Linked DNA regions of Lonchura striata. The protein of the gene in region 1 purifies or fractionates together with the protein of each later gene. This does not show direct contact. Links are inferred from orthologs where the notes say so. Each region holds a gene or a part of one and is shown in the gene's direction. Other genes may lie near its edges. The genes, in order: KCNJ4 and DLG4.

Region 1 (14,876 bases):
TCTAAATCTGCCAAGGCCAGCCACCTGCTCAGTGCTCCTGTCACCTTTCTATCAGCAGGTGTATTGCATGAAGCTACCAAAAATCCATCCCTTGAAACTTCAAACGTGGATCATCATTACTGCTTTTGGCAGACTTGTTGGGGAAAGTGAAGAAGGAGGAAAATAGTTATCCACTTAGTTAGTTTCATCTAATTCCATCCTTCCCAACAGAAAGGTGTTTTAAAGTGTCCTTCAGCCTTGGCAAACCACAGCATGTTCTATGATGATTTATGCCATTTTTATGCACTTTTAAGCTCTGGTGGCCATTTACCAAAGCATGGCACTGAAATGGAAGGGGCATCTGATTTTGGAAAACAAAAGTGTCTTGTCTATGCAGATGCCCATCTTCCTACAGAATCAGTTCTTCACAATCAAGAACTTGATCTTCTCTATCAAAGGAAAAGAAGGCTTAAGAACATCTCCATATGTCTGCAGTTGCTTTTTCAGGTATATTGTCTGCCTGCAGCTATTTTTTCCCCTCAAAGTTTTTTAGTTGTTTTTTTTTTTTTTTTTGCATTATTCATAATCTTTCAAAATATACGTAGAATCGAATGTACCTCAGTTGTTAACTTCCAAGGTGAGGTTAAACCAGGCTTAAGTCTGGTTTAATTTTTGCTGTGCTTCACACACACATCCAGGGCCTTGCAAGCAGTGGTGCCCACTCTCAGTCAATAGATATGTTTTTTAAACTGGACTTTAGGTGCACAATATGCATCACAAACGCAGCAAAAAATAAAGTCACGTAAAGATTAACACATGGTAAGCTGCAGCTCCACCCTATACTGCAAGAATTAATGAACTTTTCAGTATTACAGCAAGCTGTTTACCTACCTTTGGTGATGTAGAGGTAGAAGAAGTCGCAGTAGAAGATGGTTTGTACCACCCCAGAAACTACAGCGATCTGGTCGTAGAAATTCTCAGTGTGGTAGCGCCAGACCCAGTTGGCAATGTAGAGGGCACGGTAGAGGCCCAGGAAGAAAAGGTAGTGTGTCGTGATGGTCTCTGCTTCCCCTGTCTTGCTGATCATGAAGAGCTGAGGAAGGATAGCCACAGACTCCAGGTAGATGGAGAAGGTCCAGAGTATCTGTGAGGCGCAAAATGAAGGCAGTGGGGAGTCAGTGCTGGTTAGTATGTGTTAAGACCTAAAGCTTTTTGTTTGGCAAATCACTGATGTGTGAAGACGATGAGTAGTGCTGCTGAAGTTGGGGAAAATGAGCTCACTGTGCTGGGAGTGAGAGGAGACAGTGCTGAGCTGCTCTATAGATGGTACTGTCTTCAAGGCCTGCCAACTTTGCCTTTCCTGCCTGCTTTTGCTGTTAAAAATCTTGGCTATTCAACATGCTGCTCACTCTGCTGCCTGGTGTAAGGCTGCTGCTGCTTGCCTTCCCTTTTCCTGTCTCAGCTTTTCCTTACCTCCAAGGGGGTGAAGCTGTGGTTCTCCAGAAATGACAGGCCTGTGACAGGGACCAACAGGAACTCGAGGCGAAAGGAGTCATTCTCACTGTCAAACGTTTTCCGGAATTTCCCATAGATCATATACACAGTGACGTAGGCACAAATCAAAAAAATTACCTGTGGAAGAGAAGGGAGATGGCAAGACCTTACCTGCAATTGCACTTTCCATGCTTAAAGAGAGGCTGGCTTTCCCAGAAGTCAAGATAGTGGTGACTGCTTTGCCTGTGTTGCCTTACAGATTGACTTCTGTTGGAAATATTCCAGTGATCAGGTAAAGCTTGCCCCACCATGAGAATCTCACGTTTGAGTCCCTCTGGAGCACTCTGTGAAGATGTTGGCTTGGTAGCAGCTTTATGTTAATGCTCCTGCTGTACAAGGACACCCAGGCTGGGTTCATGGCATCTTGTTCTGGTTTAAGTGGTCCTAAATATGGCTCAGCGCACTCACTGGCTATGGCAAAGCAGTTTTGGACAATGGCACCAAAAGAAGCATCCTTATCCACCCTTCCACTCTGACTGTGTGCCCTCACCTCCTCAAGAAACCGTGTCAAGCTGAGGGGAATCTCTCCTGCTGCACTCCCTCTCCTTACCTTCATCACAGTGTTATAGACAGAGATGAAATTCGTGAACAGGTCCAGGTAGCGGGTTGTGAAGACAAGGGCAAAAAGTATCTGACTCTTCCCAGAGATTCCTGCGTGGCAGGGAGATGAAAGGAAAGCAGATGAAGGGAGGGGTCTGTGGGATGGTGCCTCCTCCTTACATTGATATGTGTGTTGTTTTGTGAGCCAGGGCTGGTGTGTGGCTGCTGAGGCAGCTCTACCCCAGACTGTCCAGAGTCTCCCAGGTAACAGGGCAGGTTCCTGCTGATGCCCCTGAGTGCTGCCTGCAGGAACTGGTGCTCGGTGGGCATGTTCACCACTTTGGCCAGTTCAGTCCTTGCTGTCGTCAAAAGGCCTTTTTCTCTTGCCTCCCTTCCCCCTTTGCCTGCCCACCTCAGCAGGGGACTGTGTGATGTGACAACTGCCACAGGAGGGAAGAGCTGCAGGACCAGCCCCGGGCACTGGCGGAACTTGGCCTACCCACTTCTGTAGCTGTGATAATGGCCACAGCCCCAGCAGCCCAGCCCCAAAATCTCTTGAGGAGGGAACTATGAGCAAAACTCCAGCGCAGGAAGCTGCTGTCCTGATTTCCTCGCCCTGGGATGGGGCAGCCTCTGGCACCTGCCCACCACTGGCAGAACCTCCAACCTACAGCAGCTTCCTCTCCAGGTTGTTGGTGTTGGTGCTGCCGCAAACTCCTGCTCTCATTTTCCACCTCCCTCCAGCCTTGTCACCCTCTCCTTCACCTCACCACCCTGAGACCAACACCTGCCTGAGGCTGTACACCTTGCCACATCACATCCAACACAGCCCTCTCCTAGCCGGGAAACCTCCCAGAGAAAGAGGATGACTTCCCTCAAAGAGCCCATGGGGGAGGGCTGCCAGTTCCTATGGGCTATCACTGGCCTTTCCAGCTCCCATTTTGTTGTACCCTTCACCGAACTGCCCTCTGAGAAGGGCCACCCTCCTTCCCTGGGACATGGGAGCACTCACCAGCACAGGACTTGGACTTCACAATCTTCAGCAGGAGAATAATGATGGCCAGCAAGTGGGAGACATCCCCCAGGATGCGGAAGATGTTCATGGTGCTGGGGGGACTCCTCTGGGCTGGAGGGGCTGGGGCTCTTTCTGCAGGCAGAGAGGGCGAGGGCAGGAAGTTTTTCTCCACCGAGCCTCGGCTGAATGAACGGTCTCCTTCGGCTCAACTTTCCTTTCTCCCTGAGCACGGAGCCCTTCCTTCTCCTAACACAAAGTGCCGTCTCCCCTGTCCCGTGGCTGCAGATGCCTTTCCCCTGCCAGCCTGGATGTTTCCCTTGTTTACTTTTCCACCGAGGTGGATTCTCCCTCACCCAGAGCAGGGCCTTTCTCCCTCTGCTTTGGGCTGAAAGTTGGAGTTTGTGTCCCGGAGAGCTCTCCAGGCTGAGCAGCCCCACAGCCAGCGCTGGGTGACGGTGACGTGGCTCCTGGCTGGCCGGGGAGGAGAGAGAGGAGGAGGCAGAGGCGGGAATAACTGCGCTATTTTTCCCTTTCTTTTTTTTTTTCCCCTTCCTATTTTTTCTTCCCTGCTTGTCTCAAGTTACACACGGAAGTGTGGTTAAAGGGGAAAAGGCAGAGGGAAGAGGATTCCCATCCTCTGGCCTTGAGGACACACCCTCCGGCGAGGGCCAGACTTTCCAGGAATATTCGCCACGGGTGCAGTAACCTCTGTGCTGCTTCCAGCCTTCTGCTCTCTGCCCTTACCGGCCCCATCCCACCTGCAGCACCTTCTCACCAGTGCTCCACCTTGGCTCCTGCAGCCAAAGAAGAAGTGGAGAGATATTTGAATTATCAACCCATTGCAGCTCTTCCACAGCGACAGCCATTCCCTGGTGTCTGCCCTACCAGACACCCCTTCCTTCAGATGCCCTATCTGGAGCAGAGTGGATCCCTGAGCACAGCCATGGAGAAAGAAAATATTCTCCCAAGGGCTGGTTTGAAACAAACTTCACTGAAAATATTAATCCTGGATTCTTAGAAGGAAATCCTGGATTCCAGAGGGTTACAAAAAATGTAGGGAATTTGTTGAGTGAAAGAAGCATGTGGTTGCTGCTGGTTTTATAGATTTCACAGAAAAGAGCTCAGTAGTGAATGTTAGAAAGTTTTAATATATTTGAAAATATATTAAGCCGGGTGACCAGCTTGTTTTGGATGAACCTTGTCCTCGGAGCAGCAGTTACACAGGGAGATCTCATGGCAGCAGCAGAGAGACCTCTGCATCAAGATCCAGCAATTAGGTAGTCAATAGCTAATCACTAATTCAAAGCTGCTTTAGTACAACCAAATGGAAGTTGTAATTTGTCGCCTTGCCCTGAGCAAATCGCATCTGGCCACGGGTCTAATTTGGTTACCCTTGGATTGTGTGATCCTGCCTGCTCCTGTCCCAAAGTTGGCTCTGGCTGCTGCCCTCCCTGTCCCCAGCCATGACTTTTGGCCATCCTCTACGCATGTCTCTCTCTCCTTATGGGCTTGCTTGGAGTAAAATGCTTAACGACCAAAGTGTAAAAATATTATTCCTGGTGCTTTCCGAGAGGATTAACAAGCCTATTAGCATCACCGGCTCCCTTTCTGAATATATTTGCATACATTTCCTCCCTGCCCATTAGGTTGGCGGTTGTGTTTTCCCTCTCTGACGCTCCAGCACCTGCATCACAGGGCTTTTCCAGATGGATTCACAGGCCGGGTTGGAAAACACCTGCTCAGCCCCACGGAACTGGAGACGTCCCTGCCTGTTCCCAGCCAGGGCACTGAGGCAGGGGTTGCTGCGGTGGGTCAAGGGTGGGTTAGAGCAAAAGAGACGATTGGCAAAGGGCAAGGACTGCCTGAATTGGGTTTCCAGACATCAGAGTGGAGCTGCCTGGGATTTCAGCAGGGCTTCACAAGGCCATGTGGGTGCTGGTAAAAGCCAAGCCCCAGCCCTGGTGGCCCTGCAGGTCCCTGGTACCCCAGGTCCTTTTGCAGGTAGGCAGAGTTTTGATCCATGGAGCAGGGATGTAAAGTTGGGGGGAAGGAACAGATTTGGAGTCCTTTCTTCCAAGAAATCCCCTTCCAACCCCCTGGTGTGCAATGTCTGAGAGCCTTTGTCTTTCTCTTGTCCCTGCACTCCTCTTTGCAGCTTCTTGTCCCACCCAAGGAAAGAAGTCCCCTCCAGAGAAAGGCAAAGGTTTATTCTCCTCATCTTGCACCTTCCCAAGAAGAGCTGATGGGCCCAACTCCCAGCATTATCTCCCACTCTGGCACCTGGAACCACCAGCTGAGGTGACCATTAGAGGGACTTCATGGGAGCAGCCCAATCAAGCCCACCCAGCTGGAACAGGGTGGTAAGGCTGGGGTGTCCCCATGGAACACCATCCCTGTGTGGTACATGGGGGCCATAGGAAAGCTGCTGCAGTGCAAGGGACACCCAGGCTCTTAGAGACAAAACTGGCACATGGAGTGGGACCAAGTAAAAATAAACCTTCCCTCCTCCTGCCCTGCCACAATGCCAAGTTCCTTGCGCCGGGTGTCTCCCTGCCTCCCAAAATAATGCCGGGTGCTGCCACCACCCCGCATGGTGATGCTCTCTCCATGCCTCCCGTTTCCATGGTGACCACAAGGAATGTCGCCAGGGTGACAAGGAGGAAAGTGAGCTGGGATTTGATATTAAAAATGAGATTTTGGGGTTGTTTGGTTTATTTTTCTCTCTCTCTCTCCCCCCCCCCCCCAATCCCTCCTCCTTTAGTTCTATTTTTGGGGTTTCCCTCTGCCTCTGCTGGTCTGGAAGGCTCCTCCTGCAGAGCCACTGGGCCAGAGAGCAGCAGCTTAATTCAGGGCCCTTCTCCACCTCTGCCTATGAGGTGATGGCTGTGGGATGAGAAGAGGGACAAAAGGGCATTTCCTAATCACTAAAACAAATGTTTCCTTCTATCAAAAAGGCTTCTCTGCTTTTGCCCCTGGTGGTTCTCCAGGTGTCTCCCTCCAATTCTGCTGCAGGATGTAGATCAGGCTACATCCAGACCTTCTGGGAGAGTGGGCAGTCTCAAGGATTTGTCTAAGAGAGGGCAATGATTCTGCATTCCCAGAGGGGCTGGGGAACACGGTGGGGTTGAGCACCATGGGTCACCTCTGTGTCTCACCATCTCTGCCCCCATGACCAGATCAGGTTGGCTGGGCAGTTCTGGAATGCTGGGGACAGACAGACAGAGATAGGATGGTCGGTGGAAGATTGCAGACGGAACACGGCAGGTGCTAAGGAGCCCAGAATTTTGCTCTCTGGTTTAAACACCCAAAGTCAGACCTGCTCAACACAGAGAAGGCTTGACGGTTTGTGCTGGCTTAGCTGGTATTACAGGAGTGCAGGACCACGGGTGTCCAAGTAGGGGCTGCTGTCATACAGGTTGCTCGTCTCTTGATGCCCAGGCAGGAGAAGAGGCAGGCAGTGTTTTCTCACCTTCCCAGGAGCTCTTGCTTTCCACTGTACCCATCTCTCCATCCATCTCCAGCCATCCCTCTCATCCCTTTCTCTCTCTATCCATTCTTCCCTCCATCTTTTCAACCACCCCTCACTCCTCCTCTCTCCATTCATCCCTCCAAAGATTCCTCTGTCCATCTGTATGGCACTCTTTCCCTCCATCCCTCCATCCCTTTATCCGTCCCTCGTTCCACCCTTCCATCCCTCCATCCCTCCATCCCTCTGCCTCCCTCAATCCCCACAGTGGCACTGGGAAAGGTTGGCGGAGTGGGGCTATTTTTGGGAGCGTCTCCCTGGCAACGGCTGCCACCACCGTCTGTGGTGGTTTTTACATAGGTGCTAAAATATTCCACACTTCTTATTAAAGACGGTGCTGGTGGAGACGGGCGGGGGCGGCGAGTGTGAGCCACCCCGCTGCTGGGGCCGGCGGCCATGGGGCGGTCAGGGCATGGCACTTGGGGGGCACAAGGACAGCAAGGGGCCGGTGACATCTCCAATGTGGCGTCCCCATGCCCCTCTCGCTGCCTCTGGAAGGGCCACTTGTCTCTTGGCAGTGTCAGGCTGCCACACCATGCACAAGGTGCAGCTATCTACCCTCCTGCTGCAAAGGCAGAGGGAAATGTGGTGAGGCCTCAGAGGGAGCCAGCAGTAAGGAGCAAAAGGCAGAGAGGGAGACACCCCACTTGAGGCTGAGGCGGTCACAGGGCTGCACTTGGCTTTGCCCGCTCTGGGAAGGAGCAAGATGTCTCAGGCCCATCTTCATCCCTTTACCACATGAAGAGGAAAGGCCTGCTGTGGTGCCAGAGGGATGGTGCACTCTGCCAAAGAGCAGCTGGGCAGATACTGGTCAGTAGCTCTAGGGAAGCAGCCCCAAAACAGGTCCTAGAGACAAAGCTTTTGGGAAAATACGTACCCTCTGAACCTGAATGAGGTCCTCATAGGGATGGCTGCAGAGGGAGTGGATGGGCTGGCTCTGCTGCATCCAGGTGCAGCAGCTCCCCAGGAGCAGTAGGGAGCAGCCATGGGTGCACTGGGGTGAACTGACCCATTCAGCAGGCTGATGTGCTCCTGGTTTGCAGCTGCTCATCTGCATGGAGCTACTAAACCCACCCCAGCACCCTCTGCTGCCCCGGCAGTGGCTTTGCCAGGTGGGAACAGGCTGTGCTCACCACCGCAGTGTTCACTGGTGCTGGCAGGGCACAGCAGGCTCCACAGCATGTTGTGCAGGGGTCATCCTATATGCCACACCTTGGGAGGGTTTTGGGAGGGAGGGTCATAGTCCTTGCAGGATTGGGACCCAGAGGAGACTCAAAAAATGGGTTTTTAAATATTTTTTGACTTTTCAGCACAGGCCTTAACACTGCGGACAGCATATGAGGCACCAAGACAGAAACCATGTCCTCAAAAATGCTGTTCTGGAACAGGGCTGTCCCCAGGATCCTGTGCCTACAGCCACTGCCTGTGTAGTCAGGAGTCTCTTCAGCCTCTGTTTTTGCTGCAAAATCTCTCCTTGTCACCAAGAAGTGACCTTTTTAAAGCCTCTGAGATGCTGCTGGCCGTGGAGACCCAAGAGAGGTTTCTTGGACAGGTTTCCCAGCAGGATGGCTGTGCACTATCCTGGAGCCCTGAGGTCTAGTCCCTCCGTGTCCAGCTCCTGTCCCAGCATTACTCTTCCCGGCAGGAAATCACCAGCTCTGTAGCGTGGGGAAGCAATGCCCCACAGCAAACAGCATCAGCTGGGAGAGCCTGGTCCTTCCTCGGGGCTAGGTGTCAGCCCAGCACCCCAAATCCAGGTGGGAAAAAGCCCTCTGACGGTAGTTATTTAATCTCTGTGCAGCCGCCCAGGAGGAGGATTCACCTCTCTGGCGGCCCCACCATCCCCTTCCCGCTGGGGATGGTCGCTCTGTCTCCCCCATGGCGGCTCCGCAGCTCTGAGCTCACACGCGAGGATGGGCTAAAGTAGCGGAAAGCTGTTGGATCCTACCACAGAGTTACTGACTTCTCAGCTACAGACTGCATAGCAATCAGCGAGGGGGAGAGGCAGCCAGGGAAAGGGAGCGGAGCGCAAAGGGAGGAAGAGTGTCAGGGAGAGGGGGGATCTGGGGACTAGAGCAGGGGGGCAGCAAGGGGCACGGGCAAATCATGCCAGAGAAGGAGGGAGCCAGGCAGGAGGGGGAGACCTAAACCCGTCGCTGAGCCACGAAGGCACATCAGCACTCCGTGGGATGGACGCTCCTGGGAGCAAAAAATTCTGAGAGGCAGAGGCAGAAGGAGAGCGCTGGCGTGGGCAGGGCAGAGTTAGGAGAGGAGCAGGTCGCAGCGGAGAAGTAGCTCTTCGGAGGGGAAAAAAATAAACCTAGGCTGGAGGCGAGCGAGGACTGCAGAGAGACTCCCCTGATTCCTCCGGTCCGGCTGAGACATTTCGTGGTGAGATGGAAAGACCGGGCGCTTTTCCCTTCCTCTGATGTTGGCTCGGCACGGCTGGAGCAGGCGGCAGCCCTCGGCAGGACCCGGGTAAGAGGCGGTGCCGGGGCGCGCTGCTCTCCGCACCGGCATGAGAGCGCGAAGGGTTTTTCTCCCTTCGGAAAATAATGTATTGTTTCATTAGCGTTCGCTCTGAGGAACAGCTATAAATATAACTTGGGGAGAGATGCGTGGCTTCGTGTGAGCGTGCCAGTGAATAATAAAGTTGCCTTGTGTGCATGGCGTATGCACGCACAGCTACCGGGGCGGCCACGGGCCGAGGGGCAGGGGTGGGCTCCTGCCTCTAAACCTCCCCAACTTCCCTCCCCGCCCTCTCGCCACCCTAACTTCGGTCCCTTTGTAGGTAACTTCTTCATTTTTTCAGTTCCCCGTGTTTTCTTAGTGTCTTCTCGCCCTGGGCTGGATCTTGCTCACCTTTTACTTCTCCTGCTCTGTAGACTCTTCTCTGTGCTGGTCCCAGCCAGTTCACACAGAAGGAGGCAGCTGGAGGCCTGCTCTTCAGGCTCTCGGGTGCAAATGGGGCTGAAGTGGATGTGTTTGTTTTCCTGCTGCTTGTGGAGCTTTTTGGGCTTCAGATCTGTCCCCCTCTCCATTGCCGTCCACCTCTCCTAGTCCCAGCAAGGCTGATCATGCCAGTGGTGGTCCAACACCCCCCAGACAGGCATGGTGCAAAGGGTCTTCTGGATAGTGGCTTTGGGTGAAGGAGCTCAGGAGGAAGCCAGGAGCAAACTACCAGGAAAACTCTGCCTTTGCTCCCTGTTCAGAAGGTCGGCTTCCCCACCAGGACAGGAGTGGGCAGGCAGGTTTGCATGGTGCTGGCAGATCACCCCGGACATCCCTGGCCCATCAGCCCCCAAGGCCCTCCCTCCTGGGCAAATAGCCTGGAGTCATCCAAATCCTTTTGGCAAGAGCCTGGCGCTTCCTATCCCTGCAGCCCAGCCCTGACTCCATTGATGGCAAAGCAAACAGCATCTCTGGGGCCTCTCCCTTCTCCCCTTGCTCCCCTTGGGGGTGTGCTGTGAAGGGCAGAGAGTGACAGAAACTCATGGCAGAGGTGACACAGCTCCAAGGCTACCTTCAATCCCTGCTCTGTGCCCTCCTTGGCTGCTTGGGGGGAGTCATCCACAGGAGATGGGAGGTGTGGAGATGAGCCCAGGGCTTGGGGTTATCCGGGGCCTGGGCGGGATCAGGAAGGTGCATGGGGAATACATCTTGACAGAGACATGGGAATGTGTCCCTTCTCCATCCACCACCAGAAGTGGCACCCACAGAAGCCTGAGACACCCTGGCAGTGTGTGGCCACTCCTGTTTGCAGACACTGAAAATAGTAATCAATACAGGGCAAATTGTGCTTTAGTGGGAAGCATGAATCTGCTGGGGACAGGGAGTGGTGGGGAAGAGGACAAAAGGTGAGGATGGACACAAAGGATAAGCTGGAGAGGGCTGATCTGGAGGGAAGCGGGTTCCCTCTCCTCCACCATTTTTTTCTTCCATCTCTCCCCGTTTGGGGATCAAAGTGCTCAGATCAAGTGCCCTGATGTGTGGTGCTGGCAGGGGGCAGGCAGTGGTCCTTGTCCCTTGCAGTCCCCCGCCATGGTTTTCAAGGAAAGCCAGGAGGTGGCTGGGGAGGGATGGAGTTTCTTGGCAGGACCAATCCCCACTGGCCCCTCCAGCTTCTCGGCCACCCCAAGCTCAGCCACCGGCCACGCCCGGGAAGCAGCTGCATCCCTGGGGTGGTGTCAGTGACAGGAGGCGCGGTGATGGATACCTGTGCCCGCCGCACGCTGCCATCAGTGCGGACGCCGAGCGGAGCAGTTAATGGCCCCGTGCCCCCAGCAAGCCCCGCTATCCCGCCTCGTTATTGCACTGGGCTGGCTTAACCCGGCACTGCGGCCAGGGATCGATAGATGGATGCTGGCGTCTCAGCAATCGATCTCTTACTCATCCACGCGGCTCCCAGCCTCCCGCTGCCGCTCGCTTTCCTGTGAATGGCACGGGCCGACTGGAGCCGTCTGCGCTTGCCTCGCAACGCTGCGAAACTGAGTCAGGCTAAATTCCTGCTCCTTGACGTCACTGCTCCTGTGCCCCTTACCAGGGCGGAGAGACCTCACAGGGAACCCCCAGAGCCACCGGCACCGGTTTTGCTCGCCAGACAAGGTGGTTTTAATGGTGATGGCTGGGATTGGAGCCCCTTCTTGGGAGAGATACTGATTCTCTGGCAGAGAGGGGCTTGGGACAGGCAAGAGCTGCTTTTGAGCTGGTTCTCGCCCTCAGACCTCTGAGGCTTGTTCTGCAGCAGTGAAGGTGGTGTCGTGGCACGGGCTGCTGAGGGATGGGAGTTGTCTGCAATGTGACCCTGTCCCCGTGGCCCCAGAGACTCATGCACCTCCACGCCTGTCCTCCTGGGAGCCTGGCAGCAGGCAGCTTGCTCCAGGGACAGTTTTGTCATTCACTCACTGGTCTATCTGGGAAGGAGATGCCCACCATCTCCTGGCACCAGCCATGCTGGCACAGCAGCACCACTGCTGCTCTCACTGGAAATCAGAGACTGGAGGGTGGAGAACAAGGTACTCCAGCCCGGCACCTCCCCACGCCGCCAGCCAGGGGCTCCTGCTGCCGCTCTGCCCACGCCCCTGCCACCATGGCAGTGGGTCTGCCCCTCACAATCTGGACGGCTGTTTTATTTCTATGGCAACATTTCTCCTGAAACACTTCAGAGGGAGCCTGGTGCTGTTCGATAATGAGGGAAGCAGCGTCCCCCATTCTGTCCCCTGCAAAAGGCTCAGAGAAACGACCCTGACACATCTCCCCACCTCCTTCCCTCCCTGGCAAGCGGTACCAGCATTAGTACAAAGAGCTGCTGGCCTTGTCCCAGCTGCTTCTCTGCTGCCTGCTCTCCTTTCTCCTGCCTTCAGCTTGGCTCTCCCCTCTCCTCTCGCCGGCTCCCTTTCTGCTGGCAGCCCGCTAAAGCACCCGCGCAGACTGACCAGCTGAAAGGAGTCTCAGAGCAAGTGGATGTCGAAAGTGACTCTGCTGTAGAGGAGGGTAAAGCCCCGGGAGAGCTGTATAGATCGGCCCCGCCAGCAGCACGGTGAGTGCGGGGCTGAAGGGCACCGGGGATCCCAGAGGCCGGGCAGACGGGCGCTTCATCCCTCTGAAGAGCTCGATGGCATTATGAAGAGGCGGTGCCTGCCACGGGACCAGGCACAGCGGCCCCAGAACTCCTCTCCTCTCCCGTTCCCGTTGCTCCCAGCACCAAGAAACGGCCTCGTGTCCGGGTGGAGGTGAGCAGGCAGAAGTTGCGGGCAGCACCGAGCGCCAGCGGGCGATAGGCAGGTGAGCGGGCAGGATCCCAGCGGGAGCGGCTGTCGCAGCCGGAGGAGCAGGGTATGACAGCACCCGTGGTGACGGCGGGGGGGATATCGCAGTCCTGGCAGGGTGCAGGTGCAGCCACCGTGTCCCGCTTCGCTCTGCTCTCCCCCAGCCCTTCCTTGTCGGGGAGATGGAGGGTAGGGGAAGGAATCCTCTGTACTGCGTGAGTTCGGCAGCACTTAGGCTTGACCCCTTCCAGATGTGCTTGTTAAACCTGACGGATGAAGCCGCAGCAATAGAAGTCAGCAAACCTGTAGTGAAATACTTGATCCACTCTCTGCGTTTTCCAGCTTACCTGGGATGCTCCCTCTGCTCTGTTTCTGGTGTCTAGCAGAGATGGCCGAAAGGGGAGCAGCTGGAGCCCTTTCAGGAGGCTCGTGGCTCTGCTCAGTTCCCTCTTAGCCCAGCGACAAGGCGGGGTGAAGGGAGATTTTTTTCCCCTGTCTCGGATGGGTTAGTGCTTAGCAGCCAGGCCAGGCTGGGCACTCAGCTGTCGTGCAGCAGCTGGGTGTGGAGAAGTGGCTGCAGCCTCTCTAGATCGGGGACTTGGCGCAGAGCAGGCTTTGCCCTGGTTATTGCTTGCCCTTGCTGCTGTCACTGTTATTATCATCATTCATAAATTATTTGCAGGCATCTGCCTTGTTGGGTGCTTGGCAGAGTCACCGGCAGTCCATCCCTGCCCTGTCAAGACCACAACTGCAGCAGGCAGGCTGATGATGCAAGCCACTCTTACCCCCTCTTTTCCTGCACACTGATAATTATCCTTGTCCCCTGACTAGCCAAAAGGCATCAAGACATCCCACATGGCCAGGCACTTTGTGCTGAAGAAATGGTGAAGGGATGCTGTTGGGAATGGCCTTACACCAGGGCTCCTGCAGGGCAGGACGCCCAGTGAAGGGAGCTCCAGAGATGTGATTAATGAAGACACCCTTTGCACTGTGCAATTGTGCTGGGAAGCTGGAGGAGGTGACCTGAGTGCACTGTATCTGCCTGGGATGTGAGGACATCAGGGACACCCCAGAACCTTCAGTTTTTCACCTCTTGCAGGTTTTGCACTAACCTTTTTGGGTCTAGTCTCTGGTTTTGGTGGCAGGGTGCTGGAGGCATGTCAGCCCCTCTGCTTCCTCAGGAGCAGGTGGGATGCAATCTGCACCCTGGCTGCTACAAAAGCTTAGTTCCCTTTTGTCCAAGAACACCACCCAGGGAAGGCCAGGGCCCTTCTGAGCATTTAATTTTTCCTATGATGCCAGCTACAGAGAATAACACCCACCTTCCTCACTCAGCAAGAAAAAGCAGGGACTTCTCCCCACCTGCCAATCCAGCAGCATCCTCTCTTTACAATCCTGCTCAGTCCACCCCCCAGCCCCTGTGTCATGTACTCCCAGCCTCATTTTGGCCAAAGAGGAGTGGGTGAATGCTGGTGCCAGTCCCACCAGCCCCACCATGGGGTATCCCCCACCTAGTCTGCGATGCTGGGGAGTAGGCAGCTGTTCTCACAGCGCCATTGTCTGGACGGTGCAGCCGCAGCAGGGATCGCTGGGGCGGTGTGGGAGCAGGCGGGAGGTGATGCTGTCACCTTTCTGTGCCTCTCCCTGACTTTGTCATCCCGGGGACCTTTGTGTGGTTCACATTTTTATCTGTTTTTTCTTCCTCTCACTCTTTCTCTCCTTCTCTCTTTGCTTTCTTCTCTCCCCCTCCCATCAGCATGTGGGCTGATCACTGCTCAAACTTTTAATTCAGATGGTAATTGGAATAATAATACGGGCAGAATCCTTCTGGCTCCGTTGCTGCAGCTGGCTTCAGGGAGCTATGAATAGCTCTGAGTCACACACTGAGATGGTTTAACTTCAAATCATTTTGTTTTGTTTTCATATTACCCATCCTCAGGCTCCAGAGCTTCACAGGGGGAAAAAATATCCCCCCTTCTCACTCCACTCCAAAATATAAAACCGAGCAGAAGCACATGAATAAAATCCTCTTTTGGAGAGGGAAACTGGTCAGCGGATCATGCCTTGAGGGGCAGATGGGGACTGTTGGCACCTGATCTATTTATAATTATTGAACGAAAAGGCAGAAATGTGTATATAAAAATGGTATAGAGTTGATTACAGCTTCCTCCCCTCACCTTCCATATGTCAGTTGCCTTTTTAATATGGTAAAACTCTCCTGCACAGTGACTGTGCCTTCGCGTGTGCCCATACAGCGCCTGGCAGCCTGCCCTGCCGGCACGGAGCAGAGAGAGCTCGGCCGCTGGCTCTTGCGGCAGGACAGCCACCCATGGCACAGACTGCCCTGTCAGCCCCAGCATGGACCCTGGGAATATTCCTGAGGAACAGGAGAGATGGAGTTACGAAGAGGATGGAGAGGACATATTGTATGCTGTGGGTCTGCAAGGCTCTGCAAAAAGGCAGAGAGGTCCCTCCTCAGCTGCGGGCGTTTCCG
Region 2 (14,876 bases), on another chromosome or scaffold:
TTCCCGCAGCTCTGGGGGGGTTTTGGGGGGGTCCCGAGCCTTTTTTGGGGGAATTTTGGGGGTCCCGGGGGGTCCCAATTGGGGTGGGGGGTCCAGGGGGGTCCCGCTGTTAATTTTGGGGGGCCTCGGTGAAATTTGGGGGATTTTGGGGGGGCTGGGCCCCATTCTGGGGGATTTTGGGGGGCAGAAATTGGGGGCGGGGGGTCCTGGGGGGCCCTTCTGCAATTTTTGGGGCGGTTTGGGTGGAATTTGGGGGTCCCTGACCCATTTTGGGGGGTCCCTGATGGGATTTTGGGGTCCCCTCCCCAATTTTGGGGTGCAGGGGTGGGATTTTGGGGGTCCCATCCCCAGTTTCGAGGTCCCTGTCCCAAATTTCGGGGTCCCCTCCCCAATTTCGGGGTCCCAACCCCAAATTTCGGGTTCCCAGATCTGAATTTGGGGGTCCCCTCCCCAATTTCGGGGTCCCTGACCCAATTTCGGGGTCCCTGACCCAAATTTTGGGTCCTATCTCCATTTTTGGGGTTCCAAACCCAAATGTGGGGGTCCCAAATCCCCAATTTTGGGTCCCCTCCCCATTTTTGGGGTCCCTGTCCCAAATTTCGGGTTCCCCTCCTCATTTTCGGGGTCACATCCCCAATTTCGGGGTTCCTGACCCGAATTTGGGTGTCCCTGTCCCCAATTTCGGGGTCCCCTCCCCAATTTCGGGGTCCCATTCCCAATTTTGGGGTCCCATTCCCAATTTTGGGGGTCCCATCCCAATTTTGGGGTCCCATTCCAAATTTTGGGGTCCCATCCCCAATTTCGGGGTCCCCTCCCCAATTTCGGGGTCCCAAACCCGAATTTGGGGGTCCCCTCCCCAATTTTGGGGTCCCTGTCCCAAATTTCGGGGTCCCATCCCCAATTTCGGGGTCCCTGACCCGAATTTGGGGGTCCCAGATCCCCAATTTGGGGGTTCCATCCCCATTTTTGGGGTCCCAAACCCGAATTTGGGGTTCCCCTCCCCAATTTCGGGGTCCCTGTCCCAAATTTCGGGGTCCATCCCAATTTGGGGTTCCCCTCCCCAATTTTGGGGTTCCCATCCCCAATTTGGGGTTCCCCTCCCCAATTTGGGGGTCCCATCCCAATTTTGGGGTCCCAAATCCCAATTTCGGGGTTCTCATTCCCAATTTGGGGTCCCAAATCCCAATTTTGGGGGTCCCATTCCCAATTTGGGGTTCCCCTCCCCAATTTCGGGGTCCCATCCCAATTTTGGGGTCCCATTCCCAATTTCGGGGTCCCAAATCCCAATTTGGGGGTCCCAAATCCCAATTTGGGGTTCCCCTCCCCAATTTGGGGTCCCAAATCCCAATTTGGGGGTCCCCTCCCCAATTTCGGGGTCCCAAATCCCAATTTCGGGGTCCCAAATCCCAATTTCGGGGTCCCATCCCCAATTTCGGGGTCCCAAATCCCAATTTCGGGGGTCCCATTCCCAATTTTGGGGTTCCCAAATCCCAATTTCGGGGTCCCCTCCCCAATTTCGGGGTCCCATCCCCAATTTCGGGGGTCCCATTCCCAATTTTGGGGTTCCCAAATCCCAATTTTGGGGTCCCATCCCCAATTTGGGGTCCCAAATCCCAATTTCGGGGTCCCAAATCCCAATTTCGGGGTCCCCTCCCCAATTTCGGGGTCCCAAATCCCAATTTCGGGGTCCCCTCCCCAATTTCGGGGTCCCAAATCCCAATTTCGGGGTCCCCTCCCCAATTTCGGGGTCCCAAATCCCAATTTTGGGGTTCCCCTCCCCAATTTCGGGGTCCCAAATCCCAATTTCGGGGTTCCCATCCCAATTTTGGGGTTCCCATCCCAATTTTGGGGTCCCAAATCCCAATTTCGGGGTCCCAAATCCCAATTTTGGGGTTCCCATCCCAATTTCGGGGTCCCATTCCCAATTTCGGGGTCCCATTCCCAATTTCGGGGTCCCATTCCCAATTTCGGGGTCCCATTCCCAATTTGGGGTCCCAAATCCCAATTTGGGGGTCCCAAATCCCAATTTTGGGGTCCCAAATCCCAATTTCGGGGTCCCAAATCCCAATTTTGGGGTCCCAAATCCCATTTTCGGGGTCCCAAATCCCAATTTTGGGGTTCCCCTCCCCAATTTCGGGGTCCCCTCCCCAATTTCGGGGTCCCAAATCCCAATTTTGGGTTCCCAAATCCCAATTTCGGGGTCCCCTCCCCATTTTTGGGGTCCCATTCCCGATTTTGGGGCGCAGGCGCTCGGCGGCTCCTGGACGAGTTTCTGGGGGTCCCCCCCCGGCTCCGGGCCCGGCAGCTCCTGGGGGTCCTGCAGAGCCGCCTGTTCCAGGCCCTGCTGGGTGCGGAATTTGGGAATTCCGGGAAAATTCGGGAATTCCGGGGAAATTCGGGAATTCTGGGGAGAATTTGGGGGGGATTTGGGGGGAAAATTTGGAATTTGGGGGGCATTTGGAGGGAAAATATGGATTTTTGGGGGGTTTTTAGGGGATTTTGGGGAGAAATTCTGGAATTTTGGGGGAAATTTGGGAGATTTTGGGGGATTTTTGGGGATTTTTGGGTCATCTGGGGGGTTTAGGGGGGATTTTGAGGGGAAATTTGGGAATTTTAGGGGTTTTTTAGGGGATTTTGGAGGAAAATTTGGGGATTTTGGGGAGAAATTCTGGAATTCTGGGGGAAATTTGGGAATTCTAGGAAAAATTTGGGAATTTTGGGGTAAATTTGGGAGATTTTTGGTGAATTTTGGGGATTTTTTGGGGGATTTTGGGGGGTCCTGGGAGGTTTTGAGGGTCCTGCTGAGCCGCCTGTTCCAGGCCCTGCTGGGTGCGGAATTTGGGAATTTCGGGGGAAATTTGGGAATTTTGGGGAGAATTTTGGGGGGATTTGGGGGAAAAATTTGGAATTTTGGGGGGTTTTTAGGGGATTCTGGGGAGAAATTCCAGAATTTTAGGGGAAATTTGGGGAATTTTGGGGAATTTTGGGAAAAATTTGGCAATTTTGGGGGAGTTTGGGGAAAATTCGGGAATTTTGGGGGAGTTTGAATGGGATTTTGGGGGGTTTAGGGGGGATTTTGGGGGCAAAATCTGGAATTTTGGGGGGATTTAGGGGATTTTGGGGAGAGATTTGGGAATTTGGAGGAAATTTGGGAATTTTAGGTGAAACTTGAGAGATTTTTGGGGAATTTTGAGGAATTCAGGGGAAAGTTTGGGAATTTTGGGGGAATTTGAGTGGGATTTTGGGGGGAAATTTGAGGATTTTGGGGAGAAATTCCAAAATTCTGGGGAGAAATTGAAGAAATTTGGTGGAAATTTGGGAAATCTGGGGGAAATTTGGGAGATTTTGGGGAATTTTGGGGGATTTGGGGGAATTTTGGGTGAACTTGGGGGGATTTGGGGGATTTTGGGTGATTTGAGGCGATTTTGGGGATTTTTGGGGGATTTGGGGGATATTTTGGGGGGAATTTGGGTAATTTGGGGGAATTTTTTTGGGATATTTTGGGGAATTTTGGGAATTTTTGGGGATATTTTGGGGAATTTTGGGAATTTTTGGGCTCTCACCCCGTTTTTCCCCCCCAGACATCCAGGAGAGCTACGAGAGCTCCGTGAGCGGCCCCGAGCCCCGGCCCCGGGTAACCCAAAAATCCCCAAAATCCCCCAAATTCCCCCCAAATTTTCCCCTAAAAAAATCCCCACAAACCCCCACAAAATTCCCACCAAAAAAAATCCCCCAAATTTCCTCAAAATCTCCCCAAAAAACCCCAAAATCTCCCCCCGAATAAACCAAATCCTCACAAAAAAAACCAACCCGAAATCCCCTCAAAAATCCCAAAATCGCAACCAAAAAAACCCCCAAAATTCCCCAAAATAACCCAAAATTTCACCAAACCCCAAAATTCCCCCAAAATCTCCGCGTAAAAACCCCAAATACCCCCAGAAAAACCAACATTTCCACCAAAAAAACCCCAAATTACTCCAAAATCTCCACAAAAAATACAAAATCCCAAAATCGCCACAAAACCCCCCCAAAATTCCCCAAAATAACTCAAAATCCCCCAAAATCCACCCCAAATTCCCCCAAATAACCCCAAAATTTCCCAAAAACCCAAAATCTCCACAAAAAACCTCCAAAATTTCACCAAAAAACTCCAAAATTTCCCCAAAAATCCCAAAATCGCCGCCAAAAAAACCCCAAATTCCCCAAAATAACCCAAAATTTCCCAAAAAACCCCAAATCCTCACAAAACCTCCCAAAATTCACTCCAAAATCTCCCAAATTGCCCCAAAATCCCCGAAATCCCCCCAACCCCTCCCCCCCTTCCGCCCCTCCCCCCGCCGCTGCCGCTCCCCCAAAAATCCCAAAAGTTTCTCCCCAAAATCCCCAAATTTCCCCCGAAATTCCCAAAATTTCCCCTCAAATCCTCCTAAAATCCCCAATTTTCCCCCTAATCTCCCAAACCCCAAATTCTCACCCCAAAATTCCCAATTTTCCCCCTCGAATCCTCCCTGAAATCCCAAAATCACGAATTTTCCCCCAAAATTGCCCAAATTTCCCTCGAAAATTCCCAATTTCCCCCTAAATCTCCAAAATTCCCAAATTTCCCCCAGAAATTCCCAAATTTCCCCCCAAAATTCCCGATTTTCCCCCTAAATCTCCAAAATTCCCATTTTCCCCCCAAATTCCCCCCAAAATCCCCATTTTTTCCCCAAACCCCCCAAATTTCCCCCCAAAATCCCCAAATTCCCCTCAAATCCCCAAAATCCCGAATTTTACCCCCCAAAATCCCCATTTTTCCCCTCAAATCCCCCCTAAAAATCCCGATTTTCCCCCAAAATTCCCAAGTTCCCCCCCTAAACCCCAAAATTCCCAAATTTCCCCCCAAACCCCGAAAATTCCCGATTTTCCCCCAAAATTCCCAATTTTTCCACCCCAAATCCCCCCAAACCCCCAAATTTGCCCAAACCCCCCAAATTCCCGAATTTCCCCCCCAAAATCCCCCCAAATTCCCAAATTTCCCCCAGAAATTCCCGATTTCAACCCCCCAAAATTCCCCAAATTTCCCCCCAAAATTCCCCAAATTTCCCCCCAAAATTCCCCAAATTTCCCCCCAAAATTCCCCAAATTTCCCCCGAAAATCCCCAAATTTCCCCCTCCAAAACCCCCAAAATCCCCAAATTTCCCCAAAACCCCAAAATTCCCCAATTTCCCCTCAAAAAATCCCCAAATTTCCCCCTCCAAATTCCCGACTTTTCTGCCCCCAAAATTCCGCCCAAAATTCCCGAATTTCCCCCCCGAGCCTTCATCCCTCCCTCCTCCTCCTCCTCGCGCTGCTCCTCCTCTTCCTCCCCCCGGCGGCTCCTTCATCTTCATCTTCATCTTCATCTTCATCATCTTCATCATCTTCATCTTCATCTTCATCATCTTCATCTTCATCATCTTCATCTTCATCTTCGTCATCTTCATCCTCATCCTCATCTTCATCATCATCTTCATCATCCTCATCATCTTCATCTTCATCTTCATCTTCATCATCTTCATCATCTTCATCCTCATCCTCATCTTCATCTTCATCCTCATCTTCATCTTCATCATCCTCATCTTCATCATCTTCATCTTCATCTTCATCATCTTCATCATCTTCATCATCTTCATCTTCATCTTCATCTTCATCTTCCTCCTCCTCTTCCTCCTTCTTCATCCCCTCGGCTCCTTCATCTTCCTCCTCCTCCTCTTCCTCCTCCCGGGCCTTCCTCCCGCTCCTCCTCCTCCTCCCGGCCCCTCCTCCCGAGCCTTCCTCCTCCTCCCGCTCCTCCTCCTCCTCCTCCCGCTCTTCCTCCCTTCCCGCTGCCGCATCTTCCTCCTCCTCCTCTTCCTCCTCCTCCTCCTCCCCCCAGATCTTCATCCCCTCCATCCTCCTCCTCCTCCTCCTCCTCTCCATCCTCCCCCCCCCGAGCCTTCATCCCTCCATCCTCATCCTCCTCCTCCTCCCGAGCCTTCATCCCTCCATCCTCATCCTCCTCCTCCCGAGCCTTCATCCCTTCATCCTCATCCTCCTCCTCCCGAGCCTTCATCCCTTCATCCCCTCCATCCTCATCCTCCTCCTCCTCCATCCTGGTCCTTCATCCCCCCTCCTCCTCCTCCTCTTCTTCCCGAGCCTTCATCCCTTCATCCTCTCCATCCTCTTCCTCCTCCTCCTCCCGAGCCTTCATCCCCCCCCCCCTTTTCTTCATCCTCCTCCTCTTCCTCCTCCGGGGCCTTCATCCTCCTCATCCTCCTCCTCCTCCTCATCCTCCCCCCCTTTTCTTCATCCTCCTCCCCCTCCCGAGCCTTCCTCCTCCTCCTCCTCCTCCGGAGCCTTCATCCCCTCATCCTCCCCATCCTCCTCCTCCTCCTCCTCCTCCGGGGCCTTCATCCCTTCATCCTCCTCATCCTCCCCCTCTTTTCTCCCTCCTCCTCCTCTTCCTCTTCCTCCCGAGCCTTCATCCCTTCATCCCCCCCCCCCCTCCTCCTCCTCCTCCTCCTCCGGGGCCTTCATCCTCCTCCTCCTCCTCCCCCTCCCTCCCGAGCCTTCATCCCTTCATCCTCCTCCTCCTCCTCCCCTCCCTCCGGAGCCTTCATCCCTTCATCCTCTCCACCCTCCTCCTCCTCCCCCCCATTTTTTCCTCCCTCCTCCTCCTCCTCTTCCTCCTCTTCCTCCGGAGCCTTCATCCTCCCCATCCCCCCCCCCTCCTCCTCCTCCTCCCCCTCCCGAGCCTTCCTCCCCTCCTCCTCCTCCTCCTCCTCCTCCTCGCGCGGCCCCCCCGGCCCATGAGCGGCCGCCATGGATTGTTTGTGCATCGTCACCACCAAGGTACCCCAAAACCGCGCGGATTCCCCCCAAAACCGCCGCCGTTTGTTGGGGGGGGGTCTCGGCAGGATTCGGGCCGATTTTGGGGGGATTTGGGGTTTTTTGGGGGGCTCCTGGGGGTGGGGGGGATTCGGGGTGACTCGAGGGGGGGATTTGGGGGCTCCGAAGGGGTTTTTGGGGGGGCTCGAGGGGTTTTGGGGTGTTTTTGGGGGGGTCTGGGGGGGATTTGGGGGGTCCTGAGGGGATTTGGGGGAGATCTGGGGGTCTCGAGAGGATTTGGGGGGATTTGGGGCTCCTGGTGGGGGGGGGGGATTTTTGGGAGATTTGGGGGGGGGCCTCGAGGGGATTTTGGGGTTTTTTGGGGGCTCCGAGGGGATTTTGGGGGCATTTGAGGGGGTCTCGAGGGGTTTGGGGATTTTTTGGGGGGGTCTCGAGGGAATTTGGGGGCGTTTGGGGGGGTCTGGGGGGGGTCTCGAGGGGATTTTGGGGGTCTCGATGTGGCTGGGGGCAGAATTTGGGGCTCCAAGAGGATTTTTGGGGTCCTGGGGGGATTTTGGGGGAATTTGGGGGTCCCAAGGAGATCTTGGGGGGTCTCGAGGGGATCTGGGGGTCCTGGGGAGGTTTTGGGGGTCCTGGGGGATTTTGGGGGGTCCTGGAGGGGATTTTGGGGGGTCTGGAGGGAATTTGGGGGGTCCTGGGGAGGTTTTGGGGATCCCGAGAGGATTTTGGGGGGATCTGGAGAGATTTTGGGGGGTTCCGATGGATTTGGGGGGATTTTGGGTCTCCGGGGTTGATTTGGGGGGTCCTGGGGGGCTCCGGGTGAGATTTGGGGGATTTGGGGAATTTTGGGGCATTTTTTGGGGTTCCTGTGGTGGTTTTGGGGCAGATTTTGGGGGTTTGGGGGAGAATTTGGGGGGTTTTCCGACCCCTGCTGGATTTTGGGGTTCCCGGGGGGGATTTGGGGGTTTTTTGGGGGTTTTTGGGGGTGGGGGAGGGGCGGTGTCCCCCCAAATCTCGGGGGTGTCACCACGTGGCGGCCGCGGCGTTTCCCATGGCAACGGCGGGGGAGGGGCGGCGCACGTGGGGGCGGGGGGGGGGCCCCAAAATCCCGCCCGGAACCCCCAAAATCCGCCCAAAAAATCCCAAAATCCGCCCAAAACCCCCAAAATCTGCCCAAAAACCCCCAAAATCCGACCAAAATACCCCAAATCCCACCTGAAATCCCAAATCCCGCCCGGAACCCCCCAAAATCCGCCCAAAATACCCCAAAATCCGCCCAAAATACCCCAAATCCCACCCGGAACCCCCCAAAATCCACCCCAAAAACCCCAAAATCTGCCCAAAAAACCCCAAATCCCGCCTGAAATCCCAAATCCCACCCGGAACCCCCAAAAATCCACCCCAAACCCCCCAAAATCTCCTGGAATTCACCCTGAAACCCCAAATCCCTCCCGAAATCCCAAATCTCGCCTGGAATCCCCAAAATACACCCAAAAAACCCCAAAATTCGCCCAAAATACCCCAAATCCCTTCCAGAACCCCAAAATCCCGCCCGGAATCCCCCAAAAGCCGCCCCAAAACCCCCAAAATCTGCCCAAAAACCACCAAAATCTCCTGGAATTCACCCTGAAACCCCAAATCCCTCTCAAAATCCCAAATCCCGCCTGGAATCCCCAAAATACACCCAAAAAACCCCAAAATCTGCCAACCCCCCCCCAAAATCCTCCCCCAAAACCCCAAAATCTCCTGGAATTCACCCTGAAACCCCAAATCCCTCTCGAAATCCCAAATCCCGCCTGGAATCCCCAAAATCTGCCCAAAACCCCCCAAAATCTGCCCCCAAAAAAACCCCAAAATCTCCGAAAATTCACCCTGAAACCCCAATCCCGCCCAAAATCCCAAATCCCACCCGAAACCCCCAAAATCTCCTAAAATTCGCCCTGAAACCCCAAAATCTCCCAAACCTGGCCCCGAAATCCCAAAATCTGCCCTGAAACCCCAAAAATCCGCCCAAAAAACCCCAAAATCTCCTGGAACTCACCCTGAAACCCCAAATGCCGCTCGGAACCCCCAAAATCCGCCCAAAAATCCACCCTAAAACCCCCAAAATTCCCCCAAACTGGCCCTAAAACCCCAAATCTGCCCTAAAACACCCAAAAATGCCCCAAAACCAACCCAACATCCCAAAATGCCCCAAAATCGGCCCCAAAACCCCCAAAATCCACCCTAAAAAATCCCCAAATCCCCCAAAACCGCCCTGAACCCCCAAAATGGCCCCAAATTGACCCTGCGAACCCCAAAATGCCCCAAATTCGGACCCAAATCCCCCAAAATCGGCCCCAAAATGCCAAAATCCCCCAAAATTGGCCCTAAAATCTTCAAAACCCCCAAAATCGGCACAAAACCCCCAAAATCTCCCAAAATCAGCCCTAAAAACCCCAAAATCTCCCAAAATCAGCCCTAAAAACCACAAAATTTGCTTTCAAAAGCCCAAAATCGGCCCTAAAACCCCCAAAATTGACCCTAAAACACCAAATTGGCCCTAAAAATCCCAAAATGAGCTTTAAAAACTCCAAAATTTGCCCTAAAACCTCAAAATTTGCCCTAAAATCCCCAAAATTGCACTAAAACCCCCCAAATCCCCCAAATCGATCCCAAATCCCCAAAATTTGGCCCTAAATGGCACCAAGAGCCCCAAAATCCCCAAAATTGGTCCCAAAATCTGCAGAAATTCTCCTAAAATCTGCAGGAATTGGGAAAAATTCACCCAAAACACCCAAAATTCAGCTGAAATCCCCGAAATTCACCTGAATTTCCCAAAAATTCGCGTTAAATCCCCCCAAAATTCACCTGAACCTCCCAAAATTCACCCGAATTCTCCCAAAATTCACCTGAATTTCCTAAAATTCACCTTAAACTCTTAAAATTCACCTAAAATCCCCCAAATTCTCCTGAATCTCCCCAAAATTCACCTTAAACCCCCAAAATTCACCAGAATTCCCAAAAATTCACCTTAAATCCCCCAAAATTCACCTTGAACCCCAAAATTTCACCTTAAATCCCAAAAAATTCACCTCAAACCCCAAAAATTCACCTGAAAGCCCCAAAATTCACCCAAAATTCACCTGAACCTCCCAAAATTCACCCGAATCCCCAAAATTTCACCTGAAATCCCCAAAATTCTCCCAAGATTCTCCTGAATCTCCCCAAAATTCACCTTAAATCCCCCAAAATTCACCTGAATTTCCCAAAAATTCACCTTAAACCGCCCCAAAATTCGCATTAAATCCCAAAATTCACCTTTAATCCCCAAAATCCCTCCAGGATTGGCCCGGACATCCCAAAATCCGCCGGAATTCTCCAAAATCCACCCAAACCTCCCAAAAATCCTCCCAAAATTCCCCCGAAATCCCCCAAAAATTCCCCCCCCCCCAATTCCTTCTTCCATCCCTGAGTTCCCCTCAGGAATCCCCAAATTCCCCAAAATTCCCCAAAATCCCCCAAAATTCCCCAGAATTCCCCCCAAAATCCCACAAAATTCCCCATAATCTCTCCAAAATCCTCCAAAATCCCCCAAAATCCCCAAAAATTCTCCTGAAATCCCCCAAAAATCCCTCAAATTCCCCCATAATTCCCCCGAAATTCCCAAAAATTTCCCAAAAATTCCCCAAAACCCCTCAAAATTCCACCAAAGATTCCCCCCAAATCCCCCCAAAATCCCCCCAAACCCCCAAAATTCCCCCAAAATCCCCCCAAAATCCCCAAATCCCCCAAAATTCCCCCAAAATCCCCCAAACCCCCCAAATTCCCCCAAAATTCCCCCAAAATCCCCCAAAATTCCCCCAAAATCCCCCAAAATCTCCCCAAAATCCCCCCAAATCCCCAAATCCCCCAAAATTCCCCCAAAATCCCCCAAAATTCCCCCAAAATCCCCCAAAATTCCCCCAAAATCCCCCAAAATCCCCCCAAACCCCCCAAAATTCCCCCAAAATCCCCCAAAATCCCCCCAAAATTCCCCCAAAATCCCCCAAAATTCCCCCAAAATCCCCCAAAATCCCCCCAAACCCCCCAAAATTCCCCCAAAATCCCCCCAAACCCCCCAAAATTCCCCCAAAATCCCCCAAAATCCCCCAAATTCCCCCAAAATCCCCCAAAATTCCCACGCCGTTGCCCCGGCGACCGAGCCCCGCCCCCTCCCCCCGCGCTGTTCCCAGGCCGCGCCCCCTCCCCCCGCGTTGCCATGGCAACGCCTTCCCGCGCTCGTTGCCATGGCGGCGGCGCGCCAAAAGCGGCGGCCCCGCCCACTCGGCCCCGCCCACGTGACCGCCGGGCGGCGCGCGTCGCCGTGGAGACGGCGAGGGGGCGTGGCCTGAGCGAAGGGGGCGTGGCCTGAGCGAGGGGGCGTGGCCTGAGCCAGGGGGGCGGGTCCGGGGGCTCAGAGGGGTCACACGAGGACAGGTATGGGGGGGGGGTTTGGGGGTCCTGGGGGTCTTTTTTGAGGCAATTCTCGCTGGTTTTGGGGGTCCCGAGGCTCCTTTTGGGGGTCCTGGGCGCCGTTTTGGGGCAATTCTCGCTGGTTTTGGGGGTCCTGGGGATCGTTTTGGGGGTCCTGGGGGTCGTTTTGGGGTCCTGGGCGCCGTTTTGGGGCAATGCTCGCTGGTTTTGGGGGTCCCGAGTCCCTTCTCGGGGGTCCTGGGCGCCGTTTTGGGGCAATTCTCGGTGGTTTTGGGGATCCTGGGGGTCGTTTTGGGGGTCCTGAGTCTCATTTTGGGGATCCTGGGGGTCGTTTTGGGGCAATTCTCGCTGGTTTTGGGGGTCCTGAGGCTCCTTTTGGGGGTCCTGGGGTTCGTTTTGGGGTCCTGGGCGCCGTTTTGGGGCAATGCTCGCTGGTTTTGGGGGTCCTGAGTCTCATTTTGGGGATCCTGGGGGGGTCCTGGGCGCCGTTTTGGGGCAATTCTCGCTGGTTTTGGGGGTCCTGAGTCCCCTCTCGGGGGTCTTCTTGGGGGTCCTGGGCACCGTTTTGGGGCAATTCTCGCTGGTTTTGGGGGTCCCGAGTCCCCTCTCGGGGGTCTTCTTGGGGGTCCTGGGCGTCGTTTTGGGGCAATTCTCGCTGGTTTTGGGGGTCCTGGGGATCGTTTTGGGGGTCCTGGGTGCAGTTTTGGGGCAATTCTCGGTGGTTTTGGGGGTCCTGAGTCTCATTTTCGGGGTCCTGGGCGCCGTTTTGGGGCAATTCTCGCTGGTTCTGGGGGTCCCGAGGCTCCTTTTGGGGGTCCTGGGGTGGTCCTGGGGGGTCCTGGGGGTCGTTTTGGGGTCCTGGTGCTGCTCTCGATGGTTTTGGGGGGTCCCGGGGGTCTCTCTGACCCCTCTTGATGATTTTTGGGGGGTCCCTGAGGGTTTCTCTTGGCCCCTCTCGATGGTTTTGGGGAGTCCCGGGGGTCTCTCGGACCCCTCTCGATGATTTTTGGGGTCCCTCCCGATGGTTTTCGGGGGTCTCGGGGGTCTCTTGATGACCGTGTGGGTCCCTGGGGGTCTCTCGGACCCCTCTCTGTGATTTTTGGGGGGTCCTGGGGGTCATTTGGGGGTCCTGGTGCTCCTCCCGATGGTTTTGGGGGTCCTGGGGGTCTCTCTGTGATTTTTGGGGTCTCTCTGACCCCTCTCTGTGATTTTTTTGGGGGTCCTGGGGGTCGTTTCGGGGTCCTGGTGCTGCTCTCGATGGTTTTGGGGGTCCCGGGTGTCTCTCTGTGATTTTTGGGGGTCCTGGGGGTCTCTCTGTGATTTTTGGGGGTCCCGGGGGTCTCTCTGTGATTTTTGGGGTCTCTCTGACCCCTCTCTGTGATTTTTTGGGGGTCCTGGGAGTCGTTTCGGGGTTCTGGTGCTGCTCTCGATGGTTTTGGGGGTCCCGGGGATATTTGGGGGGTCCCGGGGATATTTGGGGGGTCCCGGATCGTTCCCAGCCCCCCCCGATCCCCCCCCGAGCCCCTCCCCCCCCGTTATCCCCTCCCCCCCGTTAATCCCCGCTAATCCCGGATCCTCCGGGGGGGGTCCCGGTACAACCGGGGGGGTGTCCCGGGGTTATTTTGGGGGGTCCCGGGGATATTTGGGGGTCCCGGGGGGGGTCCCGGGTGTATTTTGGGGGTCCCGGATCATTCTCGGACCCCCCCCAGCCCCCCCCCCCCGTTATCCCCTCCCCCCCGTTAATCCCCGCTAATCCCGGATCCTCCGGGGGGGGTCCCGGTGCCCGGGGGGGGTCCCGGGGGTCCCGGGGGGGCCGATGGCGGGAGCGGCCCCGGCCCCGTTGGGTTCGGGGGTCCCGGGGGGGGTCCCGGGCTGCGGGGGGGGGTCCCGGGGGGGTCCCGGCTGTTTCTCGCCGCTGCTGTGCCAGTGCCGCCTGGTCTGGAGGGACCGGAGCCTCTCGCTGGCCTTCGGCTGCAAGGTGGGACGGACTGGGGGGACTGGGACGGACTGGGACGGACTGGGGGGGACTGGGACGGACTGGGACGGACTGGGACAGACTGGGAGGGACTGGGAGGGGGAAAAATGGGGAAAAACGGAGAAAAAATGGCAAAAAAAGGGTTAAAAACGGAGAAAAAACGGGGGAAATGGGGATTTGGGGTTACTGGTTTGTACTGGTTTGTACTGGAAGGGACTGGAGGGGGACTGGGATGAACTGGGAAGGGGCACTGGGAGCACTGGGAGTGGCTCGGGAGGGACTGGGATGAACTGGGAAGGGGAACTGGGAGCATTGGGATGAACTGGGATGAACTGGGATGAACTGGGAAGGGGCACTGGGAGCACTGGGAGCGGCTCGGGAGGGACCGGAGCCTCTCGCTGGCCTTTGGCTGCAAGGTGGGACGGACTGGGGGGACTGGGACAGACTGGGACGGACTGGGACGGACTGGGACGGACTGGGACGGACTGGGGGGGACTGGGAGGGGCAAAAACCGGGAAAAACTGGGAAAAACGCAGAAAAAATGGCAAAAAAAGGGTTAAAAATGGAGAAAAAACGGGGGAAATGGGGATTTGGGGTTACTGGTTTGTACTGGTTTGTACTGGGAGGGACTAGGGGCACTGGGATGGACTGGGACGGACTGGGACGGACTGGGACGGACTGGGAGGGGCAAAAACCGGGAAAAATGCAGAAAAAATGGCCAAAAAAGGGTTAAAAATTGAGAAAAAATGGAGAAATGGGGATTTGGGGTTACTGGTCTGTACTGGGAGGGACTGGGAGGGACTGGGATGAACTGGGAAGGGGCACTGGGAGCACTGGGATGAACTGGGAGGGACTGGGACGGACTGGGACAGACTGGGACGGACTGGGGGGGACTGGAGGGGACTGGTGGGGGGGAAATGGGGAAAAATTGAGAAAAAATGGCAAAAAAGGGTTAAAAATGGAGAAAAAATGGGGAAATGGGGATTTGGGGTTACTGGTTTGTACTGGTTTGTACTGGGAGGGACTGGAGGGGGACTGGGAGCGCTGGGAACAGCACTGGACCATACTGGGAGCACTGGGACCCCCCCAGTTCCATACTGGGAGCACTGGGACCCCCCAGTTCCAGATGGGGACCCCCCAGTTCCATACTGGGACCCCCCAGTTCCATACTGGGACCCCCCAGTTCCATACTGGGAGCACTGGGATCCCCCAGTTCCATACTGGGAGCACTGGGACCCCCCAGTTCCATACTGGGACCCCCCAGTTCCATACTGGGACCTCCCAGTTCCATACTGGGAGCACTGGGATCCCCCAGTTCCATACTGGGAGCACTGGGACCCCCCAGTTCCATACTGGGACCCCCCCAGTTCCATACTGGGAGCACTGGGACCCCCCAGTTCCATACTGGGAGCACTGGGACCCCCCAGTTCCATACTGGGACCCCCCAGTTCTATACTGGGACCCCTCAGTTCCATACTGGGAGCACTGGGACCCCCCAGTTCCATACTGGGACCCCCCAGTTCCATACTGGGAGCACTGGGACCCCCCAGTTCCATACTGGGAGCACTGGGATCCCCCAGTTCCATACTGGGACCC

What was found.
Region 2: the proteins of KCNJ4 (region 1) and DLG4 purify together in Homo sapiens (affinity purification with western blotting, with the first as the bait; 3 studies listed by BioGRID). This does not show direct contact. The link is inferred for Lonchura striata from reciprocal best matches to the Homo sapiens genes KCNJ4 and DLG4.

Annotation. Positions count from the first base shown.
Region 1 is NC_134607.1:23,759,164-23,774,039, reverse strand, and holds the start of KCNJ4 (inward rectifier potassium channel 4), read left to right. Parts: upstream 1-8,589; 5' UTR 8,590-9,092; intron 9,093-12,073; exon of another isoform or gene 12,074-12,398; intron 12,399-14,876. Other genes in the region: KDELR3 (ER lumen protein-retaining receptor 3), read right to left, coding at 871-1,123, 1,453-1,611, 2,084-2,184, 3,086-3,176. UniProt on the Homo sapiens protein: Inward rectifier potassium channels are characterized by a greater tendency to allow potassium to flow into the cell rather than out of it.
Region 2 is NC_134636.1:1,784,718-1,799,593, forward strand, and holds the start of DLG4 (disks large homolog 4), read left to right. Parts: upstream 1-5,737; 5' UTR 5,738-6,823; coding exon 6,824-6,853; intron 6,854-14,876. UniProt on the Homo sapiens protein: Postsynaptic scaffolding protein that plays a critical role in synaptogenesis and synaptic plasticity by providing a platform for the postsynaptic clustering of crucial synaptic proteins.